Canis lupus familiaris: one gene and its partners. The protein of the gene in region 1 interacts with the protein of each later gene in a pairwise test. Links are inferred from orthologs where the notes say so. Each region holds a gene or a part of one and is shown in the gene's direction. Other genes may lie near its edges. The genes, in order: GOPC, VTN, DPYD, RHOQ, CCDC102B, MYLK and MYOCD.

Region 1 (3,801 bases):
CCTTGTAATGTCCTAAAAAGGAGATGAATAAATATGAAAGAACCTGAAAAAGAAGGTCATCCATCCATTTCACTATATTAACAGAACAACTTTTTATTTTTCTATTTTATCTATTATTTTCTTAACACTTTACTGTATATCCATTCCAGGAAATTAATGAAGATTTCTAAAAGCAAGTTATATAGCATGGGTTTACTCCATTTGATGATATATCGTTTAAGTAATACTAATTTTTCTTCTTTTTTTTCTTCCAATAAGGATCAAGACACTCTAAAGAAAAGCCAGGGTGTTGGTCCAATTAGAAAAGTTCTCCTCCTTAAGGAAGATCATGAAGGCCTTGGCATTTCAATTACAGTAAGAAGTAGTGCTTCCAGTCTCCTCTTTTGTAGTTAACTAGTATAATCATGCTCCCCTTTGGACATCCTTGGGAAACAAGTATTCTGGATATATCCCCTCCATAACTAAATTTATTCCCCTGGGCTCCAACACTTCTGTGTAAACTTTTTGTATGTAAATCTTCCTGATGACTATGAAGTATTACTTTAGTAAAATTATAACTTTATTAAGCATAATTTAGCATTTTCATTATGACTTGGTTTGTAGTTCTGTGGAATATCCTATGATTGCCACTAGGAGCCTTTGAGAATGGATATGACTGTTTTCTTCTACATTAAATGGCTCCAGATTGTATTGTTCTTTTCTCTTGTCTCATTTCTTTGTTGTCAGTTTTCAGTGGCCCTTGAGTCCAAATAGTCTTCCTTTCTAAATTTGATGCCTTTACAAACAGTTGTCTTGGGCAGCATTTCCGAGAGCAGCCTATTATAAGTACATATATTTGGAGTCGTTTTGTTGTCCTTATAGTGCTTTTGTTCCAGATGAATGAATAAGATGGCTTTACTCTTTCATTTGGTAATACTTAGATACTGCGTGAGTTCACTAGCATTTTGGTACTGCCTAATATGGAAATTTCTTTTATCATAAGTTTACCTGGTAGGTATTTATTGAATACCTACCTACCTACCTTTGTGAATGCACTGTCCCTCAAAAAGCATAAATTTTAGGAGAAATAATACACATATATCACACACACAAATAATTATAACATGAGCTAAAAAGTGAAAGTTACCAAATTTCATCAATTCCATGTTGCATATTTTTTCACATTTTAATATCTGAAATTGAGATTCCTCTTATACTCTTAAAATGATTTTTATAGTACATAAAATAATGGTAGGCCTTGTTATTTATAGTGATTCTGATCTGATAAAATCTAATAGTGCTGTGGACTATTAATATGTAATATGTAAAATACTTTTTGTTTAAAGCTTAACCAATTGTAGTTTTTTGTTTTGGGGTTGGTTTTTTTTTTTTTTTTTTTTTTTTTTTTTGGCTTTGGAATGTGTTTTAGAAATGTATGTTATTGTTTTATTCAGAGATAACTCTTTGATACCCATAAGAATGTATTTACCATTACCTAGATAGCAAATAATATTTTACTCAGTGTTCATAGAAGATACTGAAATGTATTTTTAAGAAGATATTTTATTATTAGAATAGTCTGTGACTGTACAAAGAGTAAACTAATTGACTGCCTTTTTTTTTTTTTTTTTTTTTTTTGTTAGGGTGGGAAAGAACATGGTGTTCCAATCCTCATTTCTGAGATCCACCCAGGGCAACCTGCTGATCGATGCGGAGGACTACATGTTGGAGATGCTATTCTGGCTGTTAATGGAGTTAACCTAAGGGACACAAAGCATAAAGAAGCTGTAACCATTCTTTCCCAGCAGGTAAGTTCCTTTTATGTAATTAAAATTGGATCTATTGGTTGATTCTTTTTGAATCTACTGAATGTTATACTTCAACTTGAGGCTTCTCAAGTAGTAAAGTGTTTATATGTAGATACCAGTTCCCTTTGATTTGGGCCTTTTATAGAAGACATTTGTCCAGATTTACTGAAAAAGGTCTTATTTGCCTTTTTCCACAGCTCTATAACTTTGAGCAAGTTACTTAAGTCCTCTGCTCTGCTACAGTGCCCTTATCTGAGAGCTGCAAGGATTACGCATGTTAATTCATATAAAGTGCTCAGAACAGGACCTGGTACTCAGAAAGCAAAACATCAGTAATGACTAAAACACTATACAAGTAGATGGTATTATAGAAAAAACAATGCTAGGAGCAGATTGGTTTTAGTGATAAATGTTAGAACTGATGAAAGAGTCCTTAGAAATCATTTAGCCCAACCCTCTTACTTAAAATTAGTAACCTGAGGTTCTTAGGGATTAAATAATTCACTCAAGGTTGCAGAGAAATTAGTAGAGTTGGGATTCATACCCCCAACTCCTGTTTGTTTACTTAAGGTGGACTTTTTGATTTGTTTTTTTCTTCAAGAGTAAGGTTGAAGAAATTAAGAGAAATGTTGATAGTATATTGAGATGTGTTTGGATCATCAGTGTAGAATTGAATCTGAGTTGAAAGTGAATTTATAGCTCGTTTGGTTCAACTACATACGTTGCGTAAATCTCTACAGTATCACTGATTAAATATTTATGTTAAGGGGGGACTTGTTGATGATAAAGTAGTCCATTCTATAGTTGTACATTGCGGTTTTTTTAGAAAGGTCTTCCTCATATTAAGCCTAAAAGCTGGATCCATGACTTCTGCCCACAGACCTAATTCTTTAATCTAGAACTTTACTGAATACCACAGCATTATCCCTCTGTCTCCCCAAAATGGGATGTTTAAAGTATTATCTGCTAAGAGAGATTGAAAAATGTAACCCTAACCTCTTTCAGTTAGTGTTTTCTCAACCCAACTTGGCCACATCCAGTCGTTATAAGAGTGAGATGAATGGCAGCTGTGGTAAAGGAAATACAAAGGGGCAGTCACACGCTTTTTGTTTTGTTTTGTTTTGGTTTTGTTTTGTTTTTGTTTTTCAGTCACATGCTTTTAAAGAAATGCTAAGCATCTATTAAAATTCTGAAACATAACCTTAAACTGCCGAGAATGCATAGTACCAACAGACTGACTTAGTGGCAGTAAAAAAAATCAGAGTTGCAAATGCCAGGCTTGTGTGTAGTGATTGTAGTCTCATTAAATGACTTGGAATGTTTTTTTAAACATAAAATAATCTTTTTTGCTTGAACATAAGTTTTATTAAAGAGTAGCAGTATGAGGCAGGCGTCTTGGTGGCTCAGTCAGTTAAGTGTCTGACTCTTGGTTTCAGCTTAGGTCATGATCTTAGGTTTGTGAGATCGAGCCCCATGTTGGGCTCCACACTCAGCAGGGAGTCTGCGTGAGAGTCTCTCTCTCTGCCTCTCCCTCTGCACCTCCCCCTGGCTTGCATTTTTTCTCTCTCTTTAAAATAAATAAGTAAATCTTAAAGAAAAAAAAGAATAGCAGTACAAATATTCATTTATTTATTTTAAATATTTTTTTAAGTTTATTTTTTAAGTAATCTCTGTCCTCAACATGGGGCTTGAACTCACAACCTGAGATCAATCGTCATCTGCTCTTCTGACTGAGCCAGCCAGCAGCCCCCAAATATTACACATTTTGTTTAGTAGAAAGGCCAAGGGCTTTGGAGTAATGTTTTTCTATTTTACATGCTCATCATATTGGGAAAATTATCTGCTCTTTGCAGAATAATTCAGGTTTCTGCCTCATGTAAAAGATACTGCACTGCAATAGAGAAATTTTGAGGATTGAATGATACAGTTTTACACAATTAATAAAATAATTACTTATTAACACTGTAGTACTCAGTGAAAGTTACATAAAGGTTCAAGACCTATTCAGTAAGAA
Region 2 (4,451 bases), on another chromosome or scaffold:
CCCAGACGCCTGTGAGAAGAACAAAGCCGGGCTCCGGCCCAGTGTGGATCTGCAGCAGCCCCGCCCCTGAGAAGCCGCAGGGGAGCTGACACCCCGCCTCTCGGTCACGTGGGACCCCCCGCCCCGCCCCGCCTCGCCCCCAGGCCTGTCCTCAGCCACGCCCACGCCCTGCTTAGGGGATGGGGGAGAGGGAGGGAGGGAGGGGAGGGGAGGGGAGGGGACGGAGAGCGGAAGGGAGGGGGAGGCCACTCGGGGGAGAGGGTGCCGAGCCGACGACCGCCTCCTTCCCCTGCCACCCCCAAACCCCGTGACACTGCAACGTGAAGGCAACACAGTGGAGCGGGCCCCCTCCCCTAACAGTGGTTAGTTAAAGTGATCCTAATAACGATGCGGTACAACTCTCCAGACCCTTTATGCCTCTTTCTCAAGCCTTATGACAGGCCTACAGGGTCGGTATTTGTGTTCCCATTTAACAGCTGAACTGACTAAAGCTCCTAGAAAAGACGTAGCCCAAAGTCACACACCCTTCTCTGATTATGGAACAGAAAGACTCAGTTGGAAACTCTGAGAATCATTTTCTTCCAGGTGGTGGCAGGATTTCAGGAGGCCCATGGACCCTTGACAGTGGGTGCAGAATCAGGCCTTCTGTGCCAGGGGTATTTTCTGGAAAGAGGGATGCTTATCTTCAAGAGTCTAAAAGTGTGGAGAAGGAGGCTGTTCTTTACCACAGGGAGAGTGAAAGTGGAGACAGGGAGCAGTGCCTGCCAAGGAGCAGTGAATTAGTGAGAGACCAAGGAATCAAATCCAGTCCAAACGGTTACCATTCATCCAATTTGCTGCTCTGTGAGGCCCAGCTTGGGAAAAACAATGCACCCAAGAGTAGAACCTAAACATGAAAATCTGTTTTTTTTATGATTAAAAATAAAAATCCCCCAGAGTGCTCACCAGCATTCCTTCACCCCCCCTTTTACCACCCTAAATACACAATGGGTGGGTGAGACACTCAGTCAGGGATGCACCTGATCAAACAGATCACAGACAAATAACCATTTATGGAGAATGAAGTTGGCGCTATTCCAGGCACCAGGCATTTTGTCTGCTTTAGCTTGTGTAAACACCCCCACCCCCAAAAACAGGACACAAGGCAGGTATTAATCTCTCCTTACCAAAAAGAAAGCCAAGGCAGGTAAAGCAGTGTGCCCATGGTCACACAGCCTGTGAGTGGCACAGTGGCCCTTCCTTCTGTCCTTCAGACCCGCTGTGCTATTCCCCTCCTGGGATGAGATTGAGCTTGGCAAGGATCCTGTTCACAGTTCTCCCAGGCCCAGAGTTCCAGGAATGTGACCCTTTGTAGTGCAGCAGCAACCTCTGGGGTCCAGGGTACTGGGGGCTGGGCCAGAGATTGAGCAAACAGAGCAGCAGACAAGGCAGCTCCTCTTTCTGGTTCCCTCCCTCCCTGTCCACACCTCTTCCCTCCCTTCCTCAGGCATCGCAGTGGAGACCGCATAGAGCCCAGTTCAGGGCTAGAAGCTAGCAGCCCTACCATGGCATTCCCCAGGCCCCTGCTGGTGCTAGCCCTGCTGGCATGGGTTGTTCTGGCTGACCAAGGTACAAGAGGGCGCTGGTGACTATTTGGGCCAGTGAAGGGTGGGCAATGGTGGTCTGGGCTTGGCCATGCCAACTGACACCTCCTCCCCACAGAATCATGCAAGGGCCGCTGCACAGAGGGCTTCAATGCTGACAGGAAGTGTCAGTGTGACGAGCTCTGCTCTTACTACCAGAGCTGCTGCGAGGACTACGTGGCCGAGTGCAAACCCCAAGGTGCGTCCAGAAGGGTTGGGTGGGCCTGGGGTCCCCTCTGCAGCTGGAGACTCACCACCACCCACTCTGCCTGCAGTGACTCGTGGGGATGTATTCGCTCTGCCAGAAGATGAGTATGGGGTCATTGACGATCATGAGGGGACCAGAGAACAGAGCGTCCTCACACAGCTGGAGAGTACCACCCTGAGCCCTGGCCTACAGGCCCAGTCTGAAAAGTTTCCTGCCCAGGTACCTATTCTGATCCCTGAGGAAGAGGCTCCAGGACCCGGGCAGGGGACCTTAGTGCTTGAGGCCCCTGATCAAGACATCTCTGAGTCCGCAGCAGAGGAGGAGCTATGTAGTGGGAAACCCTTTGACGCCTTCACTGACCTCAAGAATGGCTCCCTCTTTGCCTTCCGAGGTGATTCCAGGGGCAAGTCTTGGTGGGTCAGGGTCTGCCCCCGGAACATCCCCTCCCTCACACAGCCTCCTGCACTCTAGGGCAGTACTGTTATGAGCTGGATGAAAAGGCAGTGAGACCTGGGTACCCCAAGCTTATCCGAGATGTCTGGGGCATTGAGGGCCCCATTGATGCAGCCTTCACCCGCATCAACTGTCAGGGGAAGACCTATCTCTTCAAGGTACCAGGGCCAGGGGATGTGGGTCAGGGTCACGGGTATCTAGGCAGGGGTTGAGGGCTGCTGTGCCCAGGACTAGGGTGGGCAAGAAGGCTGGATCCTGGCCTGTGGGCCCTGGCTGGGCCTCTTGAGGATGGGGAAGCCCGAGGCTCTGGGTCCCCGGTGACAAGCCTAGAATTGGGACTGCTGCCTTGGGTGGGGCACTCTGCCTGTGCCCAGCCAGCCACCTCCGCACTCCCTCCTCCTTCCCTGCCCCTTAGGGTAGTCAGTACTGGCGCTTCGAGGATGGTGTTCTGGACCCAGATTACCCCCGCAACATCTCTGAAGGCTTCAAGGGCATTCCGGACAACGTGGACGCAGCCTTTGCTCTCCCTGCTCGCAGCTACAGTGGCCGGGAGCGGGTCTACTTCTTCAAGGGTATGAAGGGAGTGGGTGGGAGAAAGGCAGGCAGTGGGGCCGTCTAGGTTTGCCTGCACACTTCTGGAGGGGCAGAGTGGAATTGTGCTCACCCCCTGCCAGGAACTCCTATCTTCAGCAGGTTGGGGCTGCCTTTCCAGCCTTGCTCACATGCCTTCCCCCATCCCACTTCCCCGCTCAGGGAGACAGTACTGGGAGTATGAGTTCCAGCAGCAGCCCAGTCAGGAGGAGTGTGAGGGCAGCTCCCTGTCCACCGTGTTTGAACACTTTGCCCTGCTGCAGAGGGACAGCTGGGAGACCTTCTTTGAGCTTCTCTTCTGGAACAGACCCTCTGGTATGGAAGGAGGGCAAATCTCACTTTCTCCCACTGGGATCCCCCAGGTAGGGGCAGGGCACAGCTGGCCAGAGGGGGCTGTGATTGCAGAGCTACAGATCAAAAGCTGTTTACTCAGGCCAGACTTTGTTTCTGTTGACTTTTGGGGGGAGGTCCACCCAATCCCACACCTCGGACTTTGCCTAGCACAGCCAAGGGCACAGCTAGCAGGAGGAGGGGCTGTGGCTGAGGCCAAGTGGGGAGGGATGAGGTGAAGGAGGGCCAGGAGAAAGAGCACCAAAGAGGGAGTCAGAGGGCCTGGGCACTGTGCTCTGCCATGAGCTTGCTGTGTCCTTCGGCAAGGCACAGCCCATCATTGGGCACCAGATGAACTCTACATGTTCCCAAGACTCATTAACCCATTCTCTGCCACAGGTGGTGCTGGAGAGCCCGGGTTCATCAGCCAGGACTGGCCTGGTTTGCCTAGGCAGGTGGACGCGGCCATGGCTGGCCGCATCTACATCTCAGGGTCGGCACCCCGATCCTGGGTCAAGAAGCTGAATCCTAAGCGGCGCAACCGTAAACGCTACCGTTCACGCCGTAACCGTGGCCGAGGCCGTAGCCGGACCTCCCAGCGGCAATCCCGCTCAGCCTGGCTGTCCTGGTTCTCCAGTGAGGAGAGTGGCCTAGACACCTACAACTATGATGACTACAACATGGACTGGCTTGTGCCGGCCACCTGTGAGCCCATCCAAAGTGTTTACTTCTTCTCAGAAGGTGGGAGCCTCTGCCATCCCCTGTAGCTGGTCTAGCTGGTCTTCCCTCCTGTCCCTGATCCTCATGGGCTGAACATGGCCCTTGGGTGGTGACTCCAGAAAGCCAGGATGTGAGCCCTTAGCTGCATTTTGGATGTTCATCTACCCTTCCAGGAGAGACCTGGGTCTTCTTTCTTAGGGCAGGAATGGGCAGGGCCAGGCTGGCCCTCACACACTCTCTCCTGACCTCTCTTCCAGACAAGTACTACCGAGTCAACCTTCGCACACGGCGAGTGGACACTGTGAGCCCTCCTTACCCACGCTCCATCGCCCAGTACTGGCTAGGCTGCTCAGCCCCCAGCCCCCAGTAGGAATCTGAGCCTACACAGCTGATCCCTCCACTGCTTCCTCCTCAACCTCTTTCTCCCAGCCCAATAAAGATTCTATGCCCCTGAGTTTAAGGCTACTGTCCTGACTGGGATGGACAGGCAGGAGACTGGGATCTGCTTGGGAAAAGGAGGGGAGGCT
Region 3 (2,589 bases), on another chromosome or scaffold:
AAGAAAACCAATGGAATGCAGTCAATTAGGTCTTGTGTTTCTAAGCTGGAGATATATATGTATACACACACACATACTTTGCCCATCTTTTAGAAGGACAAAAAAAAATGTACTCTACAATTATGAAACGTAGAGCTATGGGAACTACACTCCTGGAAGCCTCCTAAGTTACATAATACAACATTTTATAAAAATCAGAGAAATCTGGGCTGATACTATTTATTGCACGGTACTGTTTTTACAATGCACACTGTCAGTAATTCGGTGCCTATGTTTTAGGATGTAATTGGAAAAGCGCTGCAGTACCTTGGAGCATTTGGTGAACTGAGCAACCTAGAACAAGTTGTGGCCATGATTGATGAAGAAATGTGTATCAACTGTGGCAAATGCTACATGACCTGTAATGACTCTGGCTACCAGGTAAGGATTCTGCTGTAATTGGGATGCTGTGAGGCGTGTTTCTTCTGGCTTGTGTAGCAGAAAGCATCTTGTGTTGTTGCTAAGTGTGCAATGCAGACCAGACATGCCCAGTATTACCCCTCAGCAGCGGCGTGTCTGTCCTCTCACTCTCTGAGCCTAGGAATTTTTTTTAAAGGAAAGCCATCACTTCTACTACCTATGCCACTATCCAGTGAACAGTGTCATTTTAATATAATTTTATCACCCATAAAACTGGCTGGGAAAGATCCAACCAAAAAAAGAAATCCACACAATTATGTACATTAGGAAGCATTACGCTTTGCTACAGAGAGGGAAAAGAACTACCACGTATTGCCATTACCCTGGAAGGCCTTAATTCTTTCCACCAAAAGAGAATTCTCTTCCATTCAATATTGACTGGGCTTCTACTAGAAAAAGCACCTTCTTACCGGGGAAATGAAATGTGGGGACCCGGAATTCCTTTGTGACTAGAGAAGCCAGCAAGTTGTAGTCTTACCACATGAAGTGAGCCAGTTCCTCACCCCTAAGCTGGGAGGCTGCCAGGGGACAATACCAAAAAAAATAACTATTAAACTTTTCAAGCTGTGACGAAATAGAGTAAAATAATACCTTTTAAGATGACTAATGGAATTTTCAAGGTAGATAAAATGCCCTGTTTTTAAAAAATTGAAGTTCATTTAACTTATTCAGCCTGGACGAAGTTCCCGTGTTGCTTGTGGCAGGATTTTGCATATTCCTCTGACTGCCTAATAGAGATATAACAGACATTTTAATTTTTTAAAAATCTCTTCCTCTTTAATTTGACATTTGTTCTATACCAAATTTTTACCCAATGTGTCACTTTTTTTGGTAGCTGAAAGGTGTCTCTAACAGTTATTTTGGAAATGCTAATCCCATCACACTCACGTTCACCTTCCCTTTAACCATTTAGAGGTGAGTCAAGAAGTCCTGTCACAAAAATCATAGTGGCAGGGCTCTAATACCTCAAATCTTAGAAGTTATGACTCCTACCTTAGAATTCTAACCTTGGCACATCAGTAAACAAACAAACCCTTATTAATGAGGGAAAAAGAATCACAATTATGCATTTAAAAAGATTTTAAAAGTCCTCCTTTGACTCTTCTCTCTCAAAAAGATAAAAAATAGAAAATCAAAATCTTCAACTGATTATAAAGTTTCATATGTCTGCAAATTTTTAAAGGATAAGATTTTTAAGATACAATCATTTTATTTTCAATTGCTTCTTGGGGTTCTATTTATAAAAGGGTACATAAGGAAGATAAATAATTTTTACTCATTCAAACAGCCATCCAAGATGTTGTTTTCTTTTTTAAAATGGCAACGATTTATGTGGACAAAGTTTCTTCTGGTTTGTCTTATCTACAGTTCTTGTTCTGATAGAATATGGTTGTTTCCTTGAGGATCAGACTGGTTTTTTATATTAAGCAGTCTGACATAATTTAATAAAACCATTTTCACATTTATGTGCATAAAAGAGGAAAGAATTATAGTTACAAGTAGCTTCGCCTGGGGGAGGGAAACTTTTTTAACAACAACAAAAAAGTTGCTTTGAATTGGATTACACCGCATTTTATATGACACAGGGTCATATCCTGATCCTTGATCAGAATCAAAGAATTATTTAATTGAAAATCCTCAAACCTCAATACTGGCACTAATGCCAACTTTTTTTTTTTTTTAACTACTGTTTTCTTCTTAAAACTACATGCTTAATTTGAAATCCAAGCAAATACATTCATGGCCCCCATCTGCCGGTGACACTGTTTCACTGTTGAGAACAAGGAGTGTGAGGGGAGAAAGCACCCCAGGGTCCTCCGGGAGCCCACAGCCCATCCTGATAGAACTGGAAGGGTCTGCGCTTTGCTAGAACAAAGGAAATGAGAGAGTCACTGTCACAAAATATTTTCCGAGAAAAACAGCTCTAAGGAATTTTAAACAATGTATTTCTAATTTAAAAGGATTTCTTTTCTGGTTTGTTTTCTTTCTTTTCCTCCCCTCCAGCAGCTCAACTGTTGCTATAGCTGCACCGCAGGGCTGGGTGTCGTCTCCAAGTGCAGCTCCACTGCAGTGGAGGAAAATGTTCTTACTAAAATGGGGGCGTTCTTGACCTTTTTGGTCAGTGACAGC
Region 4 (4,456 bases), on another chromosome or scaffold:
CTCAACACAGCATTTTCCAATTTTGTGAATCAATGAAAACAAGCCATTTCTCACATGTGGGGGTGGGTGGGGTGGGGAGGAGAAGGGGGAGGGGCGTGGTGTCTTTGTGGTGTGTACCCACTCCCCCACCCATGCCTAAGGATCAAAGCATCACTAGAGGCTGGCGAACGGGACCTGGCCAAGCTTGGCCCAGGCAGGGGCAGGGGCAGCGGCAGGGGCAGCGGCTGCCCCCCCCCCCACCCATCACATGCCGAATCTCAGAGCAAGAGTGTCACTCCTCTGAGATCACAGCCTAACACCTTCGAAGGACAGTCTGGGCCGCAAGGGGACCTCAGAGAACGGTGCGAGGCACGGGATATTTGCCGCATCCGGAGCCCGTGGGGTCTCCCTTTGCTGGCTGGCTGGGGGTTGCTTCGGAGGTTCAAGACGCCGTAACTCCCTTAGTCACCGGTTTCAAAGTAGATGATTCAGGCTCCGTGCGGTGATGGGGAACCAGGCGAGGAGCTGTGGGACCACCGCCACCTCCCCCACCGCCCCACGCGCCTTAAAAAAAAAAAAAATTTTTTTTTAACCCTTTCTCCCACCCCGATTTCTAGTTCCCTTGTGCACTTAGGGCCCGATAGGATGGATCCTGCCTTCCGGGTGCAGTTTAAATATATTTGCATAATTTTGCACGACTATTGCGTCATCGTCGAAGTGGTCGTGGTACCCCGAGAGGCCTCCTCGGCTTCTTCCAAGCACCGGGGCCTCTGGACGCTTCCGGGCGCTGCGGGCACTTGCGCGACGAGCCCTGGGCTCCTCCCGGGCTCCGGGCCCCGCCCCCGCCCCTCCCCCGCCCGCGGCTCCGCCCCCCGCCCCCGCCCCCGCCCCGCGCGGGGAGTCAAGCTAGGGTGAGCGGCCAGGCCGGGCGGCGGCGGCGGCGGCGGCGGCGGCGGCGGCGGGCGGGGCGCGGGGCGCGGGGGCCGGGCGGGGCGCGGGGGCCGGGCGGGCGGCGCTCGGGGAGGCGCTCGGGGAGGCGCTCGGGGAGGCGCCGGGGCCCGCCCTCCTCCGGGGCGCAGCCGGGAGGGGCCCGGGCGCGCGCGGGGCGGGGAGAGCCGCCTGGCCCCTCCCCTCCGCCGCCCTCCCCAAAGTTGCCGTCTCCCCCGGGGCCGGCCGGTCTTATGATCCAGCGGATCCTCCGGGGGAGGCCGGGCCGGGGAGCGCGCGGGCGGCGGGCGGCGGGCGGCGGGGGCGGCGGGGGCGGCGGGGGCAGCGGGCGGGCGCGGCGAGCGGGGCCCGGGCGGGGATCCGGGCAGCGGCCGAGGCGGCGGCAGCGCCCCGGGCCCGCCGCCCCCTCCGCTCGGCGGGGGCCGCCGCTGCATGGGGCCGGGGGGGCGGCCGTGCTGCGCGGAGCGGCGGCGGCGGCGGCGGCGGACCCCCCAGGCGGGCTGGGGCTGAGCCCGGGGCCGGGGCGGGGGCTCCGGGGGGACCATGCCCGGAGGCCGGCCGGCCGCAGCATGGCTCACGGGCCCGGCGCGCTGATGCTCAAGTGCGTGGTGGTCGGCGACGGGGCGGTGGGCAAGACGTGCCTACTCATGAGCTATGCCAACGACGCCTTCCCGGAGGAGTACGTGCCCACCGTCTTCGACCACTACGCAGGTAAGGCTGAACTGCTGACTAAGGGGCCGCTCCCCGGCCGGGAACTTTGGAGCAACTTTGGCGGAGCCCCCTCGCCGCCTCCCCCGGGCGCGCTCCCCCCGCCCGGCCCCGCGCCGCCTCCCGGCCCCACCCCCGGGCCTCGGGGCGCCCGCTCCCGGCCCCCCGCGCCTCCCGAGCGCCGGGCGCCCTGGGACGACCTCCTTGACCTTCCCACGGCCTCCTCCCGACGGCCCACGCCCCCTGGGGGGACGCTCGGGGCACCGGCGAGCCGTGGCCACGGGTGGGCAGCTGGGGCCACAGCACAGCCCGGCCCCCCGCCACTCGGCAGGGAGCCCGACGCTGGGGAGGAGGGGTGACACCTCCCGGGAGCGCCGCACGCCTCCGGAAGGACCGACAGAGCCGTCCTGATGGGGAGCCGGAGGGCCCCAGACCCTAGATAATCCGAGCTTCTCTCCCCGCCCCCGCTTCTGTCCTTGCAGTCAGCGTCACCGTAGGGGGCAAGCAGTACCTCCTGGGACTCTATGACACGGCCGGACAGGTGAGTGTCTTGGCCCCTGGCCCACACCCCCTTGCCTCTCCTCAATTCAGGCTGGCGGCAAATGCACCCTGAGGTGTCTCGGAGGGAGGGTGTGTCTTCGAGGGGCCCCTCTGGATCAAGTCTTTATTTCTTTTCTCAAGTCAGCAAATTAGGAAAAGGAAAACACACACACACACACACACACACACACACACACAAGCCGACAACAAACCCAGCCCAGCCCACCCCATGTGAACCCCTGGGCTGTGAAAGTTTTTGCCTGTGTGTGCTTTCTGTGTGGTGCCTGGTGTGTGGGTCCCAACTCCTGTTGCAAAGTGGCAGCGGCCAATCATGAAGCGCCCTTATTTTTAGTTGCAGATGACCAGGTCTCCCCCTCACAGCCTCTGTCTGGTCCCTCATTGGTGAGTGGTCTGCCTGCCTGAGGAGCCTGATTGGTGCAAAATGGCATCATCTAATATGATGGGAAGGCATTTGGTCCTGGTTATGTTTATTACAACATCATTGCACTCTGGGACTCGAGTCCCTGCAAACGTAATTTGTGGTGTTACCAGAGGACCACAGGGGAAAAAAAAAAAAAAAAGAAAAGAAAAGAAAAGAAACAACAACCATCCAGCCACTCCCTGGGGTAGGGAGGAGGAGGAAGGGTTAGGAGTATGAATCTTGGAGGAAGAGCCCCCTCCCCCCCCCCCCCGCCCCCACCCTTCTCTGGGAAGGCCAGGTGACTTTGTCTGGGTTTTCTTTGAGAGAGATTATTGTGCAGAAAGAAAACGGCACAGTCCTCCTGGCAGCCTCTGACCATTAGCAAATCGGAGGTTGGTTCTAAAGGATTAAAGTCTCCTTCCTCTCTGTCTCTCTTCCCAGGCTCACTTTTGCTGTGGGGCTGGGATGATTACGTATAATGAAGTTTTGCAGAATCCAGCCCTGTGATTAGACGTGAAACCTTGGGCAGAAGTTTTTCACGTGTCATGCAGACTTGAGTCCTTGAGGACGTGTGAACAGCTGAGGGCTTTAGAGAGTGCCTTGGGGGATCTCCAGGAGTACAGTTTCCTTATCTATAAAATGGGCTTCAGAAAGTTCTCTGTTCACATATTATATGCCAGACGCTTAGCACTGAATCTGGCGCACCCAGGGAGATGCTCAATAGAAGGGAACTATTCTTTGCAGCTTTTCTAGATTTGGAGTTCAGAGTTGTGGTACCAGGTTGAATTGAAGAATGTCTTACAGACGGTGTCTGGATGTGGCTTCTGGCTTCTAAACTGTTAAGTTAGAGGAGCATCTGAGGATAGAGAAACTGTTGGCAGGGCCAGGTGGCAGGGGCTGTCCCCTTTCTCCAAACCAACCCAAGTCAGTACAAGTTCTTAGCTTGCCAGGGCCCCTTTTGGGTGCCTGCCCTGTAGCTGTTACTTTATTCTATCAGAACGTGTGGAGGGCAAAAGGCAGAACCCAGTCAATTAAATAAGACCCGACTTTTGAACAGTACACTTGATAAATGACAGGTTGAAGTTTGGGATTGAAAAGGAGAGAAGTTTTTAAACACCGCCTCTAATTTTAACGTCTCTCACTACCGCCTCTTCCCCTTTCTCCTTTAACTTGTTACCATGACCATTCATTTGACCACGAGCCTATTCAACAGGATGTGTATATGTCAGACCTATTCTGTGCGCATTCAAATCCAACTAATACTTACCAAGTTCCTTCTGCATGTCAGGCATGGGGCAGCCACATGCAAATACTATTTTCTCCAAGAAGCAACCCCATGAGCAAAGTGATACTGTCTTTGCAGATGGGGAAACTGGGGCTCAGAGAGGCTAGGTAGCTGACCTCAGGTCACATAGCCAAGGACAGGTGTTGCTGGGACATGGACATGGGTCTGAATTTGCTCTGGTTTGAGGTGATTATACACACAGGAAGCCACTGGAAAGGCTGAGATGCCACTTGGGTTGATTAATCCAGAACCCTGTGGGTCTGTAGACCTGGGTACCTGGAATCTGGACAGCCATTCTCTGAGTGACAGTCATGCACTACCACTACAGTGGAAAGAACCCAGATCCAAATCATCACCCGAAGCTGGACCCACGCACAAAACCAGGGCTTCCCATAAGTTATTGTGATTGCTGTGTCCAGTGGAGATGGGAAGACACATACCAAACGGTATCAAACTATTAGTAAGGTTCAGTTACCCAATGATGTGACACCTACTCTATTGGCCAAGATGTGTTTTAGGGCCCCTTGGTGTTTGTCCTAGGATCTGGAACTTTTCCTTTTAGATCAGTTAGTGAT
Region 5 (4,508 bases), about 49 Mb from region 1:
TCTGAAGAGATGGGGAGTATTTATTCTTCTTTGCTTTGTCATCTCCATCATCATCATCATCATCATCATCATCATCATCATCATCACACTACCAGCAAATAATAGCATTTCCTATGTGTAAGGTAATTTACATACGTATCTACAACTTTGATAGTTGCTTAATAGAATGAAATTCATATCACATATCTTCATTTTACACGAGGAAATTTGATGTTCCGAAATGTAAATGATTTCTCTAAAGCCACAGATATAGTACGTTCTGGAGCTAGGTTTCCAAATAATGTCTTTCTGGCTCCAAAGCTTTTCCACTCTGCTCCACTGGTATTTTAGGAATGTGAGTCTGGCAGAAGTTGAGCAGAATGGTTTGGGATGGCGTTGGGGTAATAGCGTGCAGGGAAGAGACAGTGAGACGACATCCGTAAATCCAAGCTAATCACAATTCTCTCAGGTGGTCCACTCTTACTTTAGGGAATAGACAGAAGAAATTGATACTGAAAATAAGCAGTTTTTATACTTAAATTGGCGATTCTCATATTCAACACTTAGGCTTTCCTCTCTTTTATTTTCTTGAACATTGTATTCAAAGAAGATGTCTTTTGATTTCTCAGAGGAAGTTTAATCACTGATTTTCATCAAATATCACATATTCATAAGAGAAACGCATGTGGTTATTGGAAATGATATTGGGAACACACTGGCGTTCTTTTGTTTGTTTATGATGAGTGATATGAATGGAAAGACCCCATGATTATCATGTAAGTTTTATTTGAATGGGTGAAGAGCATATATAAAATTTATGTTGCTAATAGACAATGCAGAGTACAGTACATCAGTAGTAAAAAGAATAAGCCCCATTTAACATTTTTCCTCGTATATCTAAACTTTAAATATATTTAACTTTTCTCTAAATAGAATATTTTATAAATATATATTATAACTATATATATATAATAGTGTCTGTGCTCTCATTTTAGAAATGTACGATCTACTGTTTTAGAAGTTTATTGTCATTTAAATAGGCTTTACTGGAGTAATGCCTTTTTGCCATATGCCCAAACAGCTGAAGATAGTTGTAATGTAAAGATTCATTCCTTTAAATATATCATTAAGAAAACAATAAGTATACTTGTCAGCTCAAATACTTTCATCACTGACCTTAGGTTAGGACATTTCATTTTAATTAAACAGATCTAGGCTGTTTTCCAAGATTCTATTTTATAGAGAGTCTTTTACATGTTCAATACCTGGTCCTCAGTGTTTGGTCCTCAATGCCCTGATCAACTGTTGATGCACAATTGTTATCAAGTATTATAAAATAGAAAACTGGTTATCTTATAGGAGGAAAGCAGCCTATCAAAGAGAAGATGGGTTGTGCTCAATACCATTCTATTAAGGTCATAGCTTTGCAGATTACTAATATTTTTATATATTTAAATACCTGAGTGACTTGCATATGATGATATTTACTATGAGTTGCTGTTATATGTAGAAAAGATAAAAGAATATTTGCTGTTAAAAACTGATAGAAGGACTTTTTTTGGTAGCTGAATACAGAAGTACCCTTTTGAATAAAAAACATATTCATTGCAGAGCTTTTAAATGGTATCCTATAATCCTTGTCTTTAATTTGTAGAATTAAAGCCCTCTTCCCCCCAAAAAATAGATGTGCTGGAGTACTACCATATCAGAGGCAGACCCACCAGAGCAGAATGAAGAGCACCATTCAGAGAGGTAGGAGGAGACCCATGAAAGAGGAGTCTTTCAGAAGCTAAGTAAATGAGTCATTGCTGAAAGATGAAATGGCCAAGTTATATAAAATGCTACTGAGTGGTCAAGGAAAATAGGAGTTAACTGTTAATTAGATTTTGCAATACAGAAGTTATTGATTTTCTGTTTTTGCAGAGATCTAGGCTTAAAAACTGGTAGAGTGAGTTCAAGAGAGAGTGAGATGAGTGAAAATATCTTCTAATGGTTTTTACTATAAAAAATATCAGAGAAATGTGATGGTCCCTGGATGGAGATCAAGATGATTTTTGTTTTTCAGGTTGAAGATATTATAGCATGTCCCCTTTGCCGATAAGAATGACTTAGGAGGGAGATTTAATTTTATTAGAAAGGAGAGAGAGAACTCTATTTGTAGGAGTTAAGTCTTTAAGTCAGCTAGTGGGGATTCAGATGGAACCTGCAAATGGAAAGTTTGACTTTAGGGGCAAGGATGATGTAGAAAGAGGCTGAGATCAGGGTTACCACAAGGCTGATAAGTGTGGTAGAGCCAGAGAATGGTAGTTGTCTTTTGATAACTTTTTTTTTTTTTAAAGTGAAACAGAGGGAAAAAAAGAATAACTTCATCAAGAAAGATGGAAGAGTTAAGGAAGAAGATGGGTGGAGTTTTGGAGAATGGGAAAGTGAAATGATAAGGGAAATGGAGTAGGGTTGGCTGTGCAGTGCTAAGGGCTGATGTGATATTCAGAATCAAGAATTGAAGTGAGACCTGAAAGTAAACCATGTTTTCTCTAAGTATTAGCAGATGCTCAGGTAGGTGCCTATGTGGAACAGGCAGATAGTTGAATGCCAACCAGAATTGGAGTTTTCTAGGCAATAAGGTTAAGAGAATGCCAATCTAGCTGAGCATAAATTGTTAATTAATGGGGCTTGGAAAAGGGAAGGAGTATCAATATGAAGTAGGTAATAAATGGTTAAAAGATAATGGGATCAGTTAATAGGAGGTCCAAGTTAGGTCAAAGAAGAGAATTTTGTGGACCACAGAAGGTAATCAAAAGGGTGCTTAACATGGAAATGGAAGAAATGCTGTATGGTAATAGTATCTAGGGTATATACCAGCCAGTGGGTGCATGAGGTAGAACTATTGGAATTGATAGGAACGGAAAGATGAGAATATTGTAAGGATACTGCATGTGAAAATATTTTGGACATGAAATTAAGTTTAGTTCCATTACAACCAATTAGTACCACCCTTGGTTTTACTAGATACATTTTATTTCTTATTAGTAAATGTCTTTGAATTTACTTAAATGGGAAAACAGTCCTGTTATAAAAATACATGGAAAAACATGGTGTTTTATATGTGGATTATATTATGGTAAGAAGATAAATATCCACAAGTGGACACTAATTTTAGTACCCATTCCCATGCTGAGACTAATTTTGTTCATAATTTCCTCCACTTACCTTCTTATTTTTTTAATGCATCCATCGCCTCATATAGTTACCTATTTATTTATTTTTTTTAACTTTTTAAAAAATTTTATTTATTTATGATAGTGAGAGAGAGAGAGAGAGAGAGAGGCAGAGACATAGGCAGAGGGAGAAGCAGGCTCCATGCACCGGGAGCCCGACGTGGGATTCGATTCCGGGTCTCCAGGATCGCGCCCTGGGCCAAAGGCAGGTGCCAAACTGCTGCACCACCCAGGGATCCCCTATAGTTACCTATTTAAAAATGTTTAACTGAAGTGTAGTTGACATATAATATTAAACTAGTTTCAGGTATACAACGTAGTGATTCAGCGATTCTATACCTAATGAAATGCTCACCAGGATAAGTGTATTATGATATTATTGACTGTATCCCCTCTGCTGTCCTCTATTTTTAATGATGTTTTGCTTGGTCTTACAGACTGTATTAGAGAAGGATCTTCAGGGAACAATAAGATATAGACATAGAATTTTTCACATCTAACGAATTGTAAGCCCATAATTTTTCTCGATGTTCATTATATTGCCAAAGTTTTGGATAAAGATTAAATTATATTTGCAAATGATGGTCAGAAACCATGAACTACCTTTATTTTAATATTTAATTTTTTTTTTCTAAAAGCCAGGCTGTCTAAATAGCTTAAAATAAATGGGATTTCTTTTAAACTTCTCAGATGAGAACGTGGAACAGTCATATCCAGTGTTTTGAATCATGGCCATTTTATTTTGATGTGACTATTGTAGCATCTCCTCTTCTACATTATGTGACCATGTGGCAGAGAATGAAAATGTTCTGTTCATTTATATTTGAATGATAGCTATGATGCTGATGTGTATTTACATTATCAATAGAATGCATTTTCAAACATATATTTGAAAATAATATTATTAGCAATCATCTTAGTTTGATGCATAAGTGAGAAGCCTCTGTAAGACAGAGATAGAAATTTTGTGAGAACACACTGAACATAAGTTTGAAAATTCAAAACAAAGTTTTCTATTTCTGGAAAATTCTCTATGAAAAAGAAAAATCCTTAAATTTTTGGGTTGCTCTAGAGTAGAGCTATGCAACAGAAGTAGTGTTCAAGCAACCTTTACAATCTGAAGTTACATTTAAAAAATAAATGTGGGGCACCTCAGTGGTTTAGCACCACCTTCAGCCCAGGGCCATGCTGGAGACCCGGGATCGAGTCCCATGTCAGGCTCCCTGAATAGAGCCTGCTTTCCCTCTGTGTCTCTGCCTCTCTCTCTCTCTCTCTCTCTGTCTCTTATGAATAAATAAAATGTTTAAAAAT
Region 6 (3,801 bases), on another chromosome or scaffold:
CGTCTTCACTTTCTGAGACCCACAAAGACTTCAGCGTGGACCATGGGCCCAGAGAGAAGAAAACTTTGACTCTACGTAGCAGAGAGTACTCTTGGCCGTCAGTCTTGGCACTTCTCAGGGGAAACCAGAGTCTCAGAGCTGTTGGTATCTACGTAGGGTCTGTGATGGCTGGCTGGCTCTAGGGTAACCAACTGGCCCCAGTGTGCCAGGGGCCATCCCAGCTTTATACTCAAAAGAGACTCATCCTGGGAAACCCCTCAGTCCAGGCAACCCAGGCTGGTTAGTCACGCTCGCTGGCTCTCCCAAGGGAGGGAGCCTGTGTGGCCTTAGGGAGGCCAGTACAAACACTGCCCGCCTGGAGCCCAGGGACCCAGCCTTGGCAATTGTCCTCACACAAGGAAAAGACTTTCTCAAAATAAGGATGGAACTTAGCGAATTGAAACTTCCTTTCTTGATGTTCCAAAGATTTCTAAGTGTCTTTGTAGAGCAGCAACCAGTTTTTAGCTCAAAGGCATGAAACTGGAAGTCTAGAACATACAGACAGATTTCTTTTCCAGTTCTGACAACTTCTCCACTGTGTTTTTTTTTTTCTCATAAATCAGTTCCCAAAGATTGAATCTGATGTAGGTTATTTTTAAGATTGTCCTTATTAAGCACATTTTACTTTTCCCCATTTTAGAAAGTATATGCTGTAAGACTACGTCTGATAGAAAATTCACCCCTCTTTGTAGCCTATTTGTTTGCTAATGTGTATTGGCTCCCTTCTCTGGAATATTCTAATTCATTTATTGCCTTGTTCTGGCAACTTCATACTCGTCATTTTGTTAAAAGAAGAGGAAAGACTTCCTTATTCCACACCGCACAAGTGAAGACAGTCCTGATCGGTCACGACCCAGGCGTTTGGAATTGGGGAACCCATGGGCTCGGGGGGAGTGTTCCCTGCTGCACCGTCACGTGTGTGCGTGACAGGCTTTCTGTAGGGAGAGTCAGATCTTCTGGTTCAAGAACTTGAGGTGCACAGGAGGGAACTGGTTTGCCTAGTGACGTCCCTTTGTTCAGAATGAACTGAGGTGAGAGGCTCCTGGCCCAGGCCAACCGGTCTCGTTGGGTAAAGAGAATGGAGCGCCAGAAGGGCTGGGTCCGAGAGTCTGGCTCTGCGGGGGCACGGCCTGGTCTGAGGTCCACGCCACAGGGAGGGCTGCCGAGGCTGGCACCCAGACACACGGCTGAGGTCTCCGGGAGCGGCCCGTCCCAGCACAGCGTGCGCGGCTGCCGGCGCCCGGCCTGCGGGTACGCTCTCTGCAGGGCCACGGTGCCTCTCCCCGCGCCAGTCACCTCCACCCGGGGCTGCCTGGGTTCTGTTCAGTGACGCGGCTTCAGCCTGGCGACCGAGGGCCGGGAACGTGACCACAGCTCAGTGATACGGGCCGAAGGGCGCGTGGCCGGAGGGGCACATGGCCGGAGGGGCACGTCCGTCCGGAGCGCACGAAGAGTCCACAGCAGGGGGGGGGGACATGGCACAGAGGAGTGGCTGCGGCCACCACGGTTCTCTGCGTGAAGCGCGTGCACACGCTATGAGTCCTTAGTGCCCGTGATGGAAACAGCCCGGCTCCCGGAGAGCCCCAGGTCGGGGGGCTCTACCCGTCGGGCGCTCCGGGCCACGGCACCTGGACACCCCGGGCGCCCCGGACGCCGACACACGCGGTTCCCGGGCCGCTGCACTGACGTGCGAAGGGGCCGAAACCTCCGGGCCTGTGGGACCTGAGGGCGAAGGGGCAACCCGGGCCCGGTGCTGTGGCCCGGGCCACGTCCTGGTCTGCGGCCCACGCCTGGCAGAGTCTTCACCTCCGGTTCTGGCCTCCTCATCGGAGAGCGGCAGCCCTGTCCTCCCCGAGGCCTCTCCCCTCCGAAAAGCCAAGCAGCCGCCGCTCCGCATGTCCTCGGGCCTCGCTTTCGAGGCCTGGGCGGGCCCGGGCAAGAGGCTGCCCCGAAGGCCCGTGCATCCCGCACTCGGGCCGTCAGAGCCGTTCTCGAAGGCCCTCAAGTGTGGAATCATGAACAGAGCTAATGAGACCGTGGAGGTCACCTCGGGCAGCCCCCCTTACACGGAGAAGGAAAGTGAAGCGGGGGGTGGGGGTAGGGGACTTGCCCCAAGTCCGTAGGAAGCCTTTTCTGGGTCCTGCGCTAACTCCCGCTCGGTCCCTATCAGCAGCATTGTTTTACGAGAAACAGCCCCCGGGCCCGTCAGCAGGGAGTCTCTGGAGCTGTCTCAGCCCGCAGTTGCTTTATATAAACTATCCCTTTTATGGGAGTTGAAGCGCAGTATGAAAGGGTTTTTGTCTCATGTTGACCTTGTTTAGTCACATTAACGCACACATCGCTCCGGGCCCCATTCCATCGGCGCACATCCCCGGACACGCGGAGCGCGCGGGCAGAGCAGGGCTGGGCGCTCCTCGCGGCACCTCGGCTCGCGGGGCCTCGCTCCGGGCCCAGTGCGCTCCCGCCGCGCCCTTCTCCCCCGACCCGACCCCGACCCCGACCCCAACCCCCGCTGCCTATTTTCCAGAAAACGGGCAATGCTGTGAGAGCCATCGGAAGACTGTCCTCTATGGCAATGATCTCAGGGCTCAGTGGCAGGAAATCCTCAACAGGATCACCGACCAGCCCGCTCAACGCAGAAAAACTAGAATCTGAAGGTAAGGAGCTCCAGAAGATTCTTGTCTAGCCAGTCGGCGAGAAAGGAGGGGTTACGGAAGGGACATGTGGAGGCTTTGGGGAGTTTCTTTTTTTCCTTTTTCTTCTTTCTTTCTTTCTTTCTTTCTTTCTTTCTTTCTTTCTTTCTTTCTTTCTTTCCTTTTTTCTTTCTTTTTTTTCTTCTTTCTTTCTTTTTTTTTTTTTAATAATATAAACGACAAGGGTTAAATTCAGAATGAATTTTAGGTTGCCTCCTGACAACAATTATTACAGTCTACTGGTTCCTCTTTAACGGTCCAACCTTAACTGTTTTCAGAGGGAAAGTTATTTAACAGAAACAGCTGACCTCGGCTGTTCTTTTCTCCATATTTCACATAAGAATCAGCAAAGACTTCATTAAAAGCTTCCTTTTCTCTCATTACAAAAGTGCTCTTGGTATTTGGATAGGCAAACATAAAAATCACAGAGAGCACTATCTTTTTTAAAAAATATCCGTCCATATTCTTTGTGTTTTTCTTTAAAAAAAATGAACTGCAGTCCCTATTGATTTGGGCATTTTTCATGATGGTGCAGCGGGTCGTTTGAATGGGGTGGAGCGTGCGGAAAGGGCTCCTCCGCAGACCGGTAGGGTCAGCCGCTTGCGCCGTCTCGACATGCTGCCCTGGCCAGCTCCTCAGTGAAGGCCTTGGCCTCGTCCTGCTCCAGGTGCATGTGGGTTCTGGCCCTGGTCTTCCGGAGGCACTTCATGTGGCCAGAGACCCCCCCCCCCCACCTCCCGCTGCTTGGTGTTTTCCGTGTCCCAAGGTGGAGAAGCAGGGGCCAGACTCCTCTTGTGCCTAAAGGCAGGCTGCGTGTCCCCCGGGCTGCTCTGATGGGGCCAGGGGCACAGTCTGCGACACGTGGGCCTGCTCCCTCCTGATCCGTGCTCCCCAGGTGACCCTGAAGGGAAGGCAGAGGGCACAGGGTCCCCTCCAAGTACAGCTTATCCCCGGACCAATCATAAATCCCTGGTCCGTGGTCATACACTGTGAAGGCGGCGTAAGCATGGGGACCAGAACTCCCGGCAAGTCGAAGACATGCCTAGGACCCAGGCCCTCCTTCCTGAGG
Region 7 (4,445 bases), on another chromosome or scaffold:
GAGACACAGACAGAGGGAGAAGCAGACTCCCTGCAGGGAGCCTGATGTGAGACTCGATCCCAGGACCCCGGGGTCATGCCCTGAGCCAAAGGCAGATGCTCAACCACTGAGCCCCCCAGGCGGCCAGCTCTGCCTCCCTTCTGAGGCAGGAACTGAATGGCCTAACTCAGAAAGCCTTCTGTACACAAATCACTGGTCAGATCCAAAGCGTGAGGGCGAGGCTCAGAGAATTCTGGCAGAGGTCTGAACTCAGGGTGCTGGAATCTGTCCTAGGAGCTATTGTCCTATCGGGTCTTCACCTGTCACCCACTGACCTTTCAAGGGTTGCGTTCTCCTGAGACCTAAGCAGTCATGTATGTGATCCAGGAGACCTGGGGCCCAGGCGCATAGAAGGTTGCAAGTAAATTCAACCCAACATCACGTAGGTACACAGTTTGGGTTTTGTTTTTGCTGCTACCACCTACTGAGCAAGCTTCTTGAAACTAGAGTCTTCATTTTAACTCCCCAGGAGCCTTCTTTGCTAATTTGGAGCCCCTTCAGAGCAGGCAAAGCTTATAACCGCTGGCACATCCTAGATGTCCAATAATTCAGTTGGGGTTCCGATTACCCCCACCTCACCCCATCCCACCCCCTCCAAGGAGGGATTCATGCGTAGGAAAAGCCTAGAGCCTTTGCAAGCACAGCCCGACCCCAGCCCTGACATCCCCTGCTCCCAAGACCCTACGGGATGGTGGGGGGCACAGGGCGTCCGTTCCCTAATGTGTCTTTCCCACCACCCAAGAGGGAGGGCCTCGCGTCGCGGGCTGGATCTGCGCGTCCACAGAGTCGGGTTCATCCCGGAAAGTGCGCATCCCGGGAAAACGCAAGGCTGGCTTCTCAGCGGCTCCGCGGCCCGCTGGCCTCTGCCTGCGCCCCGAGGCCCGGGAACGCGGGGAGAAGTTGGGAGCGCGCCGCGCCCGGAGCCCCGCTCGCTTCCACGCGCCCCGAGGCGCGCGCGCGCCCGTCCTGCCCGCCGGGATGGGGGGGCCTCGCACCCACCCCCCGCGCCCCCCACGCTCCCCGCGCGCGCCCGTCCTGCCCGCCGGGATGGGGTGGGGGGCTCTCACCCATCCCGCGCGCCCCCGGCGCCCCCTGCGCCCCCCGCGCTTCCCCCGCGCCCTCCCTTCCTGCCCGCCGGCATAGGGTGGGGGGCCTGGCATCCACCCGCCTCCCTCCCCGCGCACCCCTCGCTCCCCGCGCTCGCGTCCGTCCTGCCCGCCGGGATGCGGGGCTCTCACCCACCCCGCGCGCCCCCCGCGCCCCTCGCGCTCCCCCGCGCGCTCCCGTCCTGCCCGCCGGGATGCGGTGGGGGGCCTCGCACCCACCCCGCGCCCCCCCCCCGCGCCGCCCACCCGCGGGGACCCCGCTCCCGCCGCTCCCCCGGCGGCCCGGGCCCCGCTCGCCGCCCCTGATTGGCTGAGCTGCTGTCAGTAGTAAAAAAGTATCAGATGGCAAACTTGGGCCCTTCATAAAGGCGCGGTGGCGATCCTCGGCGCTCGCTGGCAGCCTATGACATCAGCCGGGCACGCCTGGGATGCCGCCGCGGCCGGGCGGCCTCGGAGCAGGAGGAGGGTCCCGCCCGCTGGGAGTCAGTTAGCCCCGCGCAGCGAGGGGGGAGCCGCCGGCTCTGCGGGGACGCGGGGTCCTCGGTCCTCCTGCCCCGGGCGCTCCCGGAGAGCTGGATGAGTTCTGGGTCGTTAGCTGCGCTCAGCGGGGCTCCCGGGAGCCCGATCCCGGTGGAAGACAGGGGGCGTCTGGCCAAGGGACCAGCGGCTCGCTGAGCCTCAACATGACACTCCTGGGGTCTCAGCACTCTTTGCTGATTAGGAGCAAATTCAGATCAGGTAGGGCTAAGGCACTTAGCAAATCCTTGCTGACTTTCCTCCTCCGCACCTCGCCACCCTGGACTGCTTTCCAACCAGCGTCTCGGAGCCGGCGCTTGGCTCCTGCCACTTGGTCCTCCCAGAGCACATTTTCGAAAGTGAAGACTTTTATTTGACTTTGGGGTTGGGAGGAGGAGGGGGTGGGGGACTTTGATGTCTTCCGTGGTCGATGCTTTGAGTTGCCGGATGCGATTTGTTGTTGTTGTTGTTGTTTGGTTGATTTGTGAAAAGGCAAATTCTTTTATTTCATCCCCCACCCGCACCCCATATCTGTGAATAGAAATTTTGGAAGGGTACCTCTGAAAGGGCCAACTTTGAAAATGAACAAATAAGGGATTTCGAGTTTGAGAGCTACATAATATCAGTTGTAACCGCTGAGAAGATGAACCTGATGCTGTGTATTAATAGATACAGGGTCACTTAAAATGTAGCTAATCCAAACAAATGTATTTCCCAAAAAAGTCACTTGGGGGAAGTAAAAATAGCAAATTTGGAGCACACCAAGTATTTAGGATGACATCACTGTAGAAAAAAAAAAAGTCCAGTGCCACAAATATTTTTTCCCAAACCATCTGATATTTATAAATGGAGAATTTCCCCCCAAATTTCTGTGTTAGTGGCGCACAGAGAAACTTCTCAGAGAGGTCGCCGGGTGAAGGTGAGTGGAAGGGACAGCCGGGAAGTGCAGCGGCTCCCCACCAAGGGTTGGTTTAGGCGCCCACAGAAGGTACCAGCGTGTGGGTCTCCCCATTTAGACAGGGAGACACTCGCCGCCTTAAGCTCTTGATCTCAGTAGCACAGTGTGTAATACTGGTTTTATAAAAGTGGTGGCAAACCACTCAATAAATGGCAAAATTTCTACCCAGAAGGTGGATTACATTCCTACCCGAACACTCCCTGTAACAGGTGTTAGCAGGATGCGGGCCTCGTTTAGGATGTTCTCAAAGCTCTTGTAAATGGGACCACTCGGTGTTACTTTCACCTGAGATTCATGTTTCAAAAATGAGAAGCATGGGTGTGGAGAGTGAGGGTGGTCTGCGACCTCCTTGGGCGCTTCTGGCTTTTAGATGTCCGTGGGGTCCACTGGAGGTTTCCTAAGGCTCTACGCTGTTGCAGGGAGATGACCCTTCTGGAGCTTCTGTGGCTGGTTGGTCATCTCTTAATGAGCTAGAGACTCTGCCGCTTTGTAATTTGGTCAAAACCGCAAGGCAACACTGCCACCTTTCTGAGGAAGAGAGGATACGGATTTGTTTTGCGGAAAGCCACTGCTCATTTCAGTTGCACCCTTGGCAGTTTTTTTGGGTAGGGGAGGGGCTGGTTTGCCTCTAAAAGGATTTGAAGTACTTGATAGTAAAATCGCAAAACCGACTTATGGAACTAATCAAGGCATCCTGCCTTGGGGGGGAAAGTGCAGAGGAAAAGGAAGACCGTGTTTTCCCTGTTCCTAATTCCTGTCTGTGGGTCAGTGGAGTCCTGGTGTCTCCTAGGTAGACACCCTGGAGCTTCAGAGAAGTCCAGTTGCCAACTTGCTTTCTCTTTTTTCTTTTTCTTTTTTTTTTTTTCCTGAGCTTGGACAGGCTTTTGTGTCACAGGAAGAGTAGCTTCAGGAAAACATGAGATATCCATGCAGATAGGAACATGCTTAACCCTCCACCTTTTGATAATCGGCCAAACTGGGGTCTGGAGGTGGACAAAGTGCTTTGGTCATTGGAGATGCAAGGGGTTGATAATCTGCACAAGCAGAAAAGCGAGCAGCATGTGCGGCTAAGTAATGCAGTGTTGCAGACCTCGATGATTCTTCCTGGATATAATTGCAAGTCTAGCTGCACCACCTCAGACCTTGGCTAGACGGCCTGCTTGCTAGCAAGAGGGCCTGCCTCTTCCCAAGCAAACTCCATTTATTTTGTGGCTAACCGTGGGCAGGGAAGCCTCTTCTGTTTTGATTTGTGTTCCTGGCTTTTTTCTTTTCTTTCGTGAGCTACTCATAATGTAAATTCACTAAACTCTCCTGCCAGTGTTTGCTTTGATGATAAACCCTGGTGTTACTTATTTAATTAAAATTATTTCAAAAAATAAATGGGACTAAGCCACAGCAAGGCAAATTATTTCAAAAATAAATGCAAGTAAGTTGTTCTCTGATCTCAGCAAGGCACCCCATACTGTAGGGCCTTTTTAAAAGTGAGCAGATGACCATTTTGATTCTGAAATTGGTGTGTATGGCAGCGACGTCCAACCGGCTTTCTGTAAACCGTGCTCGAGTGACCTTGGTATTAAGGATAAAATCCTGCTACAGGAGCAGCAAAGTGGGAAATTTTACATGTGTTAATATATTTAACGTTATAAACTCCTCTTATTTGAGAGGCTGTTGTGGGGTTACATGGTTGAGTGTGTGAATCCTGAGCCAAGCTCAGGATTGGATTTTTTTTTTTTTTTTTTTTTTTTTTGCAGGTGCCTCTACTTTCGAGCTGTATAAACTTGACCTTGGATAGATTTCATAATTCCCTCTGCCGTGGTTTACTTCAC

The links.
Region 2: the proteins of GOPC (region 1) and VTN interact in binary tests that used the Homo sapiens proteins (3 or more experiments, as listed by UniProt). The two-hybrid records come from large-scale screens. The link is inferred for Canis lupus familiaris from reciprocal best matches to the Homo sapiens genes GOPC and VTN.
Region 3: the proteins of GOPC (region 1) and DPYD interact in a two-hybrid assay, tested with the Homo sapiens proteins (2 studies listed by BioGRID and IntAct). The link is inferred for Canis lupus familiaris from reciprocal best matches to the Homo sapiens genes GOPC and DPYD.
Region 4: the proteins of GOPC (region 1) and RHOQ interact in a two-hybrid assay, tested with the Homo sapiens proteins (2 studies listed by BioGRID). The link is inferred for Canis lupus familiaris from reciprocal best matches to the Homo sapiens genes GOPC and RHOQ.
Region 5: the proteins of GOPC (region 1) and CCDC102B interact in binary tests that used the Homo sapiens proteins (3 or more experiments, as listed by UniProt). The two-hybrid records come from large-scale screens. The link is inferred for Canis lupus familiaris from reciprocal best matches to the Homo sapiens genes GOPC and CCDC102B.
Region 6: the proteins of GOPC (region 1) and MYLK interact in binary tests that used the Homo sapiens proteins (3 or more experiments, as listed by UniProt). The two-hybrid records come from large-scale screens. The link is inferred for Canis lupus familiaris from reciprocal best matches to the Homo sapiens genes GOPC and MYLK.
Region 7: the proteins of GOPC (region 1) and MYOCD interact in binary tests that used the Homo sapiens proteins (3 or more experiments, as listed by UniProt). The two-hybrid records come from large-scale screens. The link is inferred for Canis lupus familiaris from reciprocal best matches to the Homo sapiens genes GOPC and MYOCD.

Annotation. Positions count from the first base shown.
Region 1 is NC_049222.1:58,352,704-58,356,504, reverse strand, and holds part of GOPC (Golgi-associated PDZ and coiled-coil motif-containing protein), read left to right. Parts: coding exon of another isoform or gene 1-12; intron 13-258; coding exon 259-354; intron 355-1,622; coding exon 1,623-1,787; intron 1,788-3,801. Other genes in the region: DCBLD1 (discoidin, CUB and LCCL domain-containing protein 1), read right to left, coding at 1-12.
Region 2 is NC_049230.1:42,589,478-42,593,928, reverse strand, and holds VTN (vitronectin), read left to right. Parts: upstream 1-1,412; 5' UTR 1,413-1,544; coding exon 1,545-1,608; intron 1,609-1,701; coding exon 1,702-1,821; intron 1,822-1,897; coding exon 1,898-2,221; intron 2,222-2,301; coding exon 2,302-2,441; intron 2,442-2,698; coding exon 2,699-2,855; intron 2,856-3,036; coding exon 3,037-3,189; intron 3,190-3,603; coding exon 3,604-3,945; intron 3,946-4,181; coding exon 4,182-4,294; 3' UTR 4,295-4,378; downstream 4,379-4,451. UniProt on the Homo sapiens protein: Vitronectin is a cell adhesion and spreading factor found in serum and tissues. Vitronectin interact with glycosaminoglycans and proteoglycans. Is recognized by certain members of the integrin family and serves as a cell-to-substrate adhesion molecule.
Region 3 is NC_049227.1:53,019,840-53,022,428, forward strand, and holds part of DPYD (dihydropyrimidine dehydrogenase [NADP(+)]), read left to right. Parts: intron 1-279; coding exon 280-420; intron 421-2,589.
Region 4 is NC_049231.1:49,818,442-49,822,897, forward strand, and holds the start of RHOQ (rho-related GTP-binding protein RhoQ), read left to right. Parts: upstream 1-1,426; 5' UTR 1,427-1,496; coding exon 1,497-1,638; intron 1,639-2,117; coding exon 2,118-2,176; intron 2,177-4,456. UniProt on the Homo sapiens protein: Plasma membrane-associated small GTPase which cycles between an active GTP-bound and an inactive GDP-bound state. In active state binds to a variety of effector proteins to regulate cellular responses. Involved in epithelial cell polarization processes.
Region 5 is NC_049222.1:9,363,187-9,367,694, reverse strand, and holds the start of CCDC102B (coiled-coil domain-containing protein 102B), read left to right. Parts: upstream 1-1,655; 5' UTR 1,656-1,663; coding exon 1,664-1,731; intron 1,732-4,508. UniProt on the Homo sapiens protein: During interphase, forms fibers at the proximal ends of centrioles to maintain centrosome cohesion. During mitosis, dissociates from the centrosome following phosphorylation to allow centrosome separation. Contributes to CROCC/rootletin filament formation.
Region 6 is NC_049254.1:27,354,561-27,358,361, reverse strand, and holds part of MYLK (myosin light chain kinase, smooth muscle), read left to right. Parts: intron 1-2,566; coding exon 2,567-2,696; intron 2,697-3,801. UniProt on the Homo sapiens protein: Calcium/calmodulin-dependent myosin light chain kinase implicated in smooth muscle contraction via phosphorylation of myosin light chains (MLC). Also regulates actin-myosin interaction through a non-kinase activity.
Region 7 is NC_049226.1:36,891,761-36,896,205, forward strand, and holds the start of MYOCD (myocardin), read left to right. Parts: upstream 1-1,520; 5' UTR 1,521-1,828; coding exon 1,829-1,883; intron 1,884-4,370; exon of another isoform or gene 4,371-4,445. UniProt on the Homo sapiens protein: Smooth muscle cells (SM) and cardiac muscle cells-specific transcriptional factor which uses the canonical single or multiple CArG boxes DNA sequence. Acts as a cofactor of serum response factor (SRF) with the potential to modulate SRF-target genes.